Daphnia pulex: one gene and its partner. The protein of the gene in region 1 interacts with the protein of each later gene in a pairwise test. Links are inferred from orthologs where the notes say so. Each region holds a gene or a part of one and is shown on either strand. Other genes may lie near its edges. The genes, in order: atypical protein kinase C-like and partitioning defective 6 homolog gamma-like.

The links.
Region 2: the proteins of atypical protein kinase C-like (region 1) and partitioning defective 6 homolog gamma-like interact in a two-hybrid assay, tested with the Drosophila melanogaster proteins (2 studies listed by BioGRID). The link is inferred for Daphnia pulex from reciprocal best matches to the Drosophila melanogaster genes aPKC and par-6.

What each region holds. Positions count from the first base shown.
Region 1 is NC_060022.1:4,026,708-4,031,062, reverse strand, and holds the start of atypical protein kinase C-like, read right to left. Parts: upstream 3,081-4,355; 5' UTR 2,833-3,080; coding exon 2,762-2,832; intron 2,701-2,761; coding exon 2,579-2,700; intron 2,521-2,578; coding exon 2,431-2,520; intron 2,371-2,430; coding exon 2,234-2,370; intron 2,172-2,233; coding exon 1,799-2,171; intron 1,739-1,798; coding exon 1,566-1,738; intron 1,501-1,565; coding exon 1,085-1,500; intron 997-1,084; coding exon 878-996; intron 693-877; coding exon 523-692; intron 445-522; coding exon 329-444; intron 260-328; coding exon 172-259; 3' UTR 1-171. Other genes in the region: F-actin-capping protein subunit beta-like, read left to right, coding at 3,429-3,431, 3,554-3,765, 3,829-4,201, 4,275-4,355. UniProt on the Drosophila melanogaster protein: Serine/threonine protein kinase which is required for apico-basal cell polarity in the germ line as well as in epithelial and neural precursor cells, for epithelial planar cell polarity and for cell proliferation.
Region 2 is NC_060019.1:10,154,364-10,158,403, forward strand, and holds partitioning defective 6 homolog gamma-like, read right to left. Parts: upstream 2,405-4,040; 5' UTR 2,132-2,404; intron 1,961-2,131; 5' UTR 1,925-1,960; coding exon 1,853-1,924; intron 1,792-1,852; coding exon 1,668-1,791; intron 1,601-1,667; coding exon 1,374-1,600; intron 1,168-1,373; coding exon 1,004-1,167; intron 935-1,003; coding exon 553-934; 3' UTR 525-552; downstream 1-524. Other genes in the region: protein DEK-like, read left to right, coding at 1-1, 58-75; Bloom syndrome protein homolog, read left to right, coding at 2,849-2,898, 2,956-3,071, 3,133-3,312, 3,383-3,609, 3,669-3,761, 3,832-4,040.

The DNA of each region.
Region 1 (4,355 bases):
GAAAAGGGGAGGGGGAAAAAAACGAAAGAGAAGAAATGGTAGGCTGTTAGAATTTTTGCTGCCGTGAAACCTGCCAAACTTTCCCTATGAAACATGTGTGTGTGTGGTTCCAATTTTTAGTGTAAATCTTATAATGGCATGAAAGCGAATGCTTCGTTTTCTATTCTAATCCTAGACGCAGTCTTCCAATGACATGAGCAAAGGATTGACGTACTCGAAACCTTCAAACTCAGACTGATCGATGCGTTCAATGACCGTCCTGCAAAGCAACAAAAAATAAAACAAAAATAAAAATCGATTCTTAATCGACAGACGATCCATCACTTACTGATCGTCGGGTGTCAGTTGGACTGGTTCGTCTGTGAACTCGGGTGGAAAGTGAGCCAGATCACGGTCGGAATCTAGACGAGGCACGTAAGGTGGAGCCACTTGTTTCTTCTCCAACTGTGCACGTATGAAAAAAGATTAGTAATCTGTTCCTAGAATGTGGATTAAACGTGTAAAAGAGAGAGATGTTCATACCATTTCCCAGTCGACTGATTTAAAGAATGGATGATGGACGATATCGACAAAGCCCGTTTCTTTTCGACAACCCAAACGATCAGCTGGATTCTTATTAAGAAACCCTTTGAGGACAGAAGAAGCCTTCACAGATAACGACCTGGGAATGCGAATCGTCTTTTCCAGGATGACTGCAATATGAAAAGAAAAGAAAAAACACACAATGTTTTACAAACAACACATTTACAATCCTCTCAAGTGGAAAAAGGTCACGCGATCTTGATAAGACCCCGTTTTTCTTGCGAACTTTATCAAATGGACTCGCGAGTTTCCACAAAGCAAATATTATAATAAAGAAGACAAGATGAAGCTCTACCGTGAAACAGATAATCTTCAGTGTTTTGGTCAGGATTCTCTGAAGCGCCGACGATGTCGAAAGGTGAACGACCGGCCAACATTTCATACAACAATACACCCAGCGCCCACCAATCCACACTGATAAAAACGAAGAAAAAGGTTAGACATTTTCGCTACAGGGGAGTTAGCGTTCCAGATTCTATTGGGTTTAATTTGTAAACATTACCTGAAACTGTAGTCTTCTCCGCGCAGAATTTCAGGAGCGATATAGTTGGGCGTACCACAAAAGGTAGACGTGGTATCACCCGGACGGATGCCCTCTTTGCACATTCCGTAGTCGGTGAGTTTGATATGACCTTCATGGTCCAGTAGGACGTTATCTAGCTTCAGATCACGGTAAATAATTCCTTTCTCGTGTAGGAAATTGAGCGCCAAAGAAATTTCAGCCGAATAGAATCGAGCGTGCTCCTCAGGAAGTCGCCTTTGGCGCTGCATGTGGAACATTAAATCACCACCACGTACGAATTCGATGACAAAGAAAAGGCGTGACGTCGTCTGGAAACACGAATGCAAGCCAACCAAGAAAGGATGGTTGGATGCCGTCTCAAAGACATGTTTTTCCGTTTGAACCCAGTCAATATCCTGAAAGTCGAGTTGTTCAATTAGAAGAAGTTGTTGATAAAATCAAAGAATCAATTTTCTTATACCTCATCATCGGTAACAAGTTCCTTTTTGATTACTTTCATGGCGTAAACCCGACGAGTTCGTCGTAATTCAACCATCAACACTTTAGCATAAGAACCACGACCAATCACACGAATCAATTCAAAATCCGCCATCGAATACGGACGTTGAACAGCACCACCTTCGACACCTTCTTCTAATATTTTAAAGTATACAATTAAAAATCTGAATTGTTTTGTATGGAAATATAAAGTACCTGGACTTCCATCAACCGGAACACTCACACTGTGAGACTCAAAAATAGGTTGTACTATTGGCGGTGCGGACGGTGCTTCGGTACCATCACCATTCTGTCGCAGCGCTGTCGGGGGTTCTCCGGCATTAACAACAGGGCTTATAGATGGAATAGCAGCAGCGGTCACTGCGGACCCTGAACTGGTATTGAGCGCGCTATTTGACAGTAGATGAACCTGGGATGGAGTGTTCAGAGCGGCCACTTGCTCCGTGTTGCAACTGATCTTGATAAGCTTGTGGCACTTTTTGTGGATGAGCAGCTTGCACTGAATGCATTTGAATCCTTGCCGACCTAGACCCCAGATACGGTCGTGACAGTAAGCGCAAGAAGCTCTCTGTCATAAAAATGGAAAGTAAGGATTACTGGGAATCAATGGTGTTGCATGGATAAACTTACGCGATTGAAACGTTTTGCCTGGAAAAGATGTCCATTGACTCTGTACAGTTTCCGCCATCTACGAGCACCACGTCGATAAATACTTTTATCTTCTCCAAAACATGGAAGCCCTGGTGACACAGGGACACTAGGGAAAACTGAATTTTAAAAAGAGTAATTAAATTTCAAGTTTATACACAAGTAGAATTAAAAAATACCATGAATAGTGATTTCTGAATCGTTGTTCACTTCATACAGACGAATAGCTTCATCAATTTCAACTTGTGAAGAGATAGTACATGGATCACCTAAAGGGATGTAAATCATAGTAAAAGAAAACTGTGTGGATTGTATGTGTTGTACAACCTTCTTCGTCAATCCATTTCATGGTAAACTCTTGATCAGGAGAAAACTGGCAAATGGCTCGCATCTCATTTTGGAGATCATCCAACAGGATCTCAGAGTTTATGTAAGTCACGAGAATTTTCCTGCAAAATAACTAATGAGGTAAGTACATACAAAGATTGAAAAAAAAAACATGAAGTATACCCGCTGAAAGCTGCCTTGACTTTGATTTCGGCCTTTTCCCCATCACTCACGAGGGTGGTGGGCATCGTCATTTAAAACAACAGGTGGGTTGGGCACAAATTGGCCGTTTCCTCAAAATTACAAACAAGTCCTCACGGCAGCCGGACTATTGTAACCATTTGAGGCTATCACTGATTGTGAACCACGATTCCACTATAACTTCTTTAAACTTCTAACAGAAAACACTTTTAGTTTTAACCTAAAAATATGAGTCAGGCGGTTAATACTGGCAAAACTGACGTTTCGAGGATTAACCTTCTATGCAGCCGCCAGGAGGCGTTCTCCGAGATTGATCAAAACTTGATTGATTTTAAAGAAAAATCGTTTTTGTAATTGTTTTTTAAATATTCTCAGCTATTATTTAATGACCAACAACACTTCCGTCATTTAATATGTGGATTTATCTCGAATTCTAATTCGAATCCGCAACCGTTTTTTTATTTCCCAGCAGGCAGAGATTTTCATTGCTTAGCGCAACTTCGGATTCAGAACATACATTTCTGTTTGTCACCGCCACTCATTTTTCACCTCGCCCATTTTTTGGTTTTTCCTGGGAAAAAAGGCCGGAAATCCTTTTCAGTTCCATTTTATTATCTCAAAAGTTTGTCGTTTCTGTCCATTTTGAACAATGGTAAGTTAAAAATCGAATTTATTCATATTTTCGGCTAGTATTAAACCTCCAATTTCAGAGTGAAAATTTTATTTGACATTTGACTTGTCTAATAATATTTCTCTTGTTATTTGTTTCTGCAGACGGAGGAGCAATTGAACCGAGCGTTGGACTTAATGCGACGTCTCCCTCCTCAGCAAATTGAAAAAAACCTGAGTGACCTGATTGACCTAGTTCCTGAACTGTGTGAGGATCTTCTATCATCAGTGGATCAACCACTTAAAATTGCACGTGATAAGAGAGAAGGAAAAGATTATCTTCTCTGTGATTATAACCGTGATGGAGATTCTTATCGGTAACAGTATTTACAGTTGTGTTGAAAACTTGACCCTAATAATAACAAATGTTGATCTGTCAGTTCTCCATGGAGCAACACCTATGAACCACCTCTTGAAGATGGAACACTGCCCACGGACAGGCTACGTAGATTGGAAGTAGAGGCCAATGCTGCATTTGATCAATACCGTCAGATGTATTTTGAGGGTGGAGTCTCCTCTGTGTACCTATGGGACCTGGATCATGGATTTGCTGGAGTCATTCTTATAAAACGAGCTGGTGATGGCGCTCGAAATATTAAAGGGTGCTGGGATTCGATTCATGTCATTGAAGTGCAAGAAAAGTCTACCGGCCGTTCGGCTCACTATAAGCTTACGTCGACAGTCATGCTATGGCTGCAGACCAGTCGTCCCGGTTCCGGAACGATGAACCTTGGTGGAAGCTTAACGCGTCAGGTAATATTATTGTTTACTTTTATGACCATGAGATATTTCCCTTAAATTGAACCGATTTTTTCTCTCGTGTTAGATGGAGCAAGACGGAACAGTAAGCGAGCCTACGTCGCACATCGTAAACATGGGTCGTCTTGTCGAAGATATGGAGAACAAA
Region 2 (4,040 bases), on another chromosome or scaffold:
GGTAATAATGTCATTGTTGTGCAATAGTTCCGTTTTAAATTTTTAAATGGTTTGCAGATTCTTGGCAGTGAATAAGGGCGCTTCAAAAATACTTCATTTATAAAGAAACAAGCTGTCATTTTATACGAGTATATTTTCGAAGTGAGTAAAGAATAATTTCTTAATGTTTTTAGTTTGTTCTCTCCACTTTCTTGAAGCACGGTGGTGCATATTGATAATACAATTTGAACTGGAGACAAGTTTTTTTTAACGTTGTATTTGTGCCGATGAATCGTGTAGATCGAGACTCATCGATTAGTCATTTTACTAATTACCATTGAAAGGCCGGTAAGTGTTGAAAAGGCACACATGTTTTTTTTTTCTTAACTATAAACCTAGGGGGAGGGGTGGACGGGATATAAACGCACGCATTGACCGATGTGGTTTGCGAACATTCAGGCAAAAAGAAGACAAATTGTTTTTTTTTATACACTTTCATTTTTTAAAAATAAGGACTCAAAAGGGAACGTTTTCATTTTCATATATGGATATTTGTGAACTTAAATCATAATGTTATAAGTGAAGGATGCCATCATCTTTCGCGTGGCTGGTCCTATCGCTGCCGCTGCTAGCACTGGTCTGCATAGTAAGATCCTTTATCTCATCTAAGTCGTCGGTTTCGTCTTCTTCATGGTCCTCGTCAGAATGAGAGTGAACCATTGACGCGATGGTCGAATACGACGTCATCGTGTCATTGTGTGAGGTTCTTGACAGCGTCAAAACACCTCGTTGATTGGCCGGTTTGACGGTGATGATCAAGTTTGCACTATTAGCCACCATCATGTCGGTTACTTGATCTAGTGATTTTCCGGCGACTTCAATACCGTTCACTTCCAGCACTTCGTCATTGACCGCCAAGAGACCAGTAGATTCGGCCAATCCGCCAGGAACCAATCTGTCAAAAATCACGGTCTGTCAATCACAACATAATAAAGATATATATAGATATAAAGTATAATCATACCTTGATATAAAAATTCCGGGGACTTTTTCTAGGCCATTAGGTGTGACACGTACCGAGGTACCGTCTCGAATATAAAATCCAAGAGGTCTTTCAGATCCATGTTTGAGCAGCCTAACTCGACGGCAGGAATCGGGCACTACATCTACATCAATAATAGCTGAAACCTGTTTTAACAGTGAATAATTCAGTTTAATGCCCAACCAAGCATGAAGCAAGATGCAACAACAAGAAAGGAGACTAGGAAACAACAACTGGAGACATAACGCCAACAACTAAGATTACGCAAGTTCAAGCAAGAAAACAAGGCGTTTAAGCTAATTACAAATCTACTTAATTAATGAAAATAAACAGATGGAATAATCAAACCAACTTGTCGAAATTCCTTTGGATACGATATGCTAATGTGTGGCCTAGTTTTGGGTGTTCCTAATATTGATGATATTAAATTCTTTTTAGAAGCATAGTGTTGATGTAATTCATCATCCTGTGATTCTCCTCTTCTCTGTATGTGGATTCTCAACAAAGGACGTGCTGCCTGCAAAGCTCTAGCAAAGTTGTCATCATTGTTGATGGGCAATAAATCCCCATCATTGGGGTCTGTATGATGAATGAGACAAATTACAAATCAGTCTTTGAATAAGTAGTATATGATGAAATTACAAACCTGTATAACTTATATAGAATGGTTCAATTTGTAAGCCATGTAGTTGTTCAAGCAACTTTCTGAAATCTTCATACTTTGGTAATACTTTTTTGTTTAGACTGAATCTTCTAAATTCAGCCACAAACTAGAATTAAAAGAATTTTAATATGAATAATCTTTGGTCATGACAGAAAATGAAACTTTACTTTGCTTTTCACTTCCACAAAGTTTGAGTTTGTTCTTGGTGGAGACATCTGAAGTTTCACTAGCTTTGACATCTGCGTTTGGGCCAAATTTAACAGTGAATAAGTATCCTATGTAGAAAACAAACAAAACGTTTCAATAGATTCATAGTTCTTTATGAATATCCACGCCCCAGTAAGCATCCGGTTACACCTCCAACACCGACAATTGCGTGAAATCATCGGTTGTTCACATTCTATATCCACTACAAGATGGAAAGGGATCTTGAGAATTCCGATTACCTGGATCGTCACTGATGGAATGGAGAAAAACGATTTAACTCATTTGAATGTTATAAAATGAATGAGCAATTTTCACGTTTCCTTGGTAGGCACCATACAATGAAAATTGACAGACATGACAGTTATTGAGGACGGTTACGAATTGGTGCAGCCCTCTAGAGGATAGAATGGAAAAATCTCGAATTTTACTGTTTTCATAAATTATAAGTTAAATATTTTTATTTTAAAGGTATTTTAAAATAGGAAAGTGAATGGATGAAATTCTCATTCTATAAGTGCTAAGTGGTTTTGATATTTTATTAGTTTACTAGTATATTGCAACAAGTTGGCAACATTTAAATGTATGTAAGCGGGAAATCGTCTGCTACAGCTTCTTGTTCAAGTTTTTCAGCGTGATGAAGGTTAACCTAACTTGGTAGACATTAGACAACTAGAACTAAAGATACCAAATAGACATATTTCAATAATTCGATTACAATTTCTTTTGCATAAAAGTGGGAATTATTCTTTACTCGATTACATTCGTAACCAAAATTGACCCTCAACCAGTTTAGAGTTTACAATGATAGTTCCATACACTTTTGTGAACTCCCTTCAAATTGTGTTAAACGTATGAAATCTTGAAAAGCTACGTGGAATCCTACGTGGACAGCGAAGTGAGAAAAATTCACTAGCTACATTGTACTTGTATCAGGATTTAAGAGATTTTCTAGCCAGATGGAAAAATACCTTCTTCCTCGTGCTAACAAACTCAAACTCAATTCAAGGTTAGTTAATTTCAATTGTATTTGTGAATAAAAATGTAATCATGAACTCTTAAATAGCATCAACAATACCTCTACAATTACATCTCAAAGTTTGTCAAAAACAAACAAGAAACATTCAGATGTCTGTGACATTAAATCACATGATGATTTTGATCAAGATTCCACCCCCATTGGTATCAAAGTATTTTGTCACTTGTCTATCTTTTATGTTATATTTACTACTTTATCATTTAGAGTCTAAATCCTCTTCAGCCAAGGAAGCAATTCAAGTGCCTTTCAAAAAAGAGCCCAATCGAGATAAAGGGAAAAGTTTAATAACTAAAAAAGCAGATTTTAGTATAGGAAACCTTGATGGAAAATTCTGGGGAGACTTTAATGATAAGGATGAAGATAATGATGTGGATGATTCGTGCGGTAATCCAGTATTTCATTTGCTCCAATACTAAAAAACCATAAAACTAAACTTTTTTTTATGAAACAAAAGATCATGCTTATAATAGTGTACTCAGCACTTCGCCTGTAGTTAAACCTAGAACATCAAGCAATTTAAAATCAGCCAAGGATAATATCAGCAAGAAAACATCAAATAAAGTCGAAGACATGAGCAAAGATTTGTTTGAAGACGAAGATTTCAATTTTGATGACGCTATTGATGTTAGCCATCTTGAAGATGATTATAAAGATAATTATAACAAAAATTCGGATCATGAGGTATGAATTAGCTTTCACGTCAGTTCGTGTCATTTATTTTACAGAATATTTTGAAATAGACTACTGATCTTGAACAATCGGTTGAAGTTATCGAAAGCCAACTACGAATTGTGTTGGATACAGAAGATTGGTTTGAAACTGCCAAAGAACAGGTAAACTCATTATTTCTAGTCAACGAGAAATTTGACAGCAAAATTATCGAATCTTCGTCGTTCGTTACAGGATGTCTCCAATGTTTCGGACGCATTAAGACGAGAAGTAGATACGAAAATTGTCAACCTCTTGGATGCTTTATACCCTCTGTCTGAAAGTTCTATATCAAATGACATGGCCGTTACTCTCTTAAATCAACTCGTGAAATTTAGGCGTAGTCTTCAAAATGCCCAAGTTCCTTCTTCTAATTCCAAACCATCAACATCAAATTCTCATTC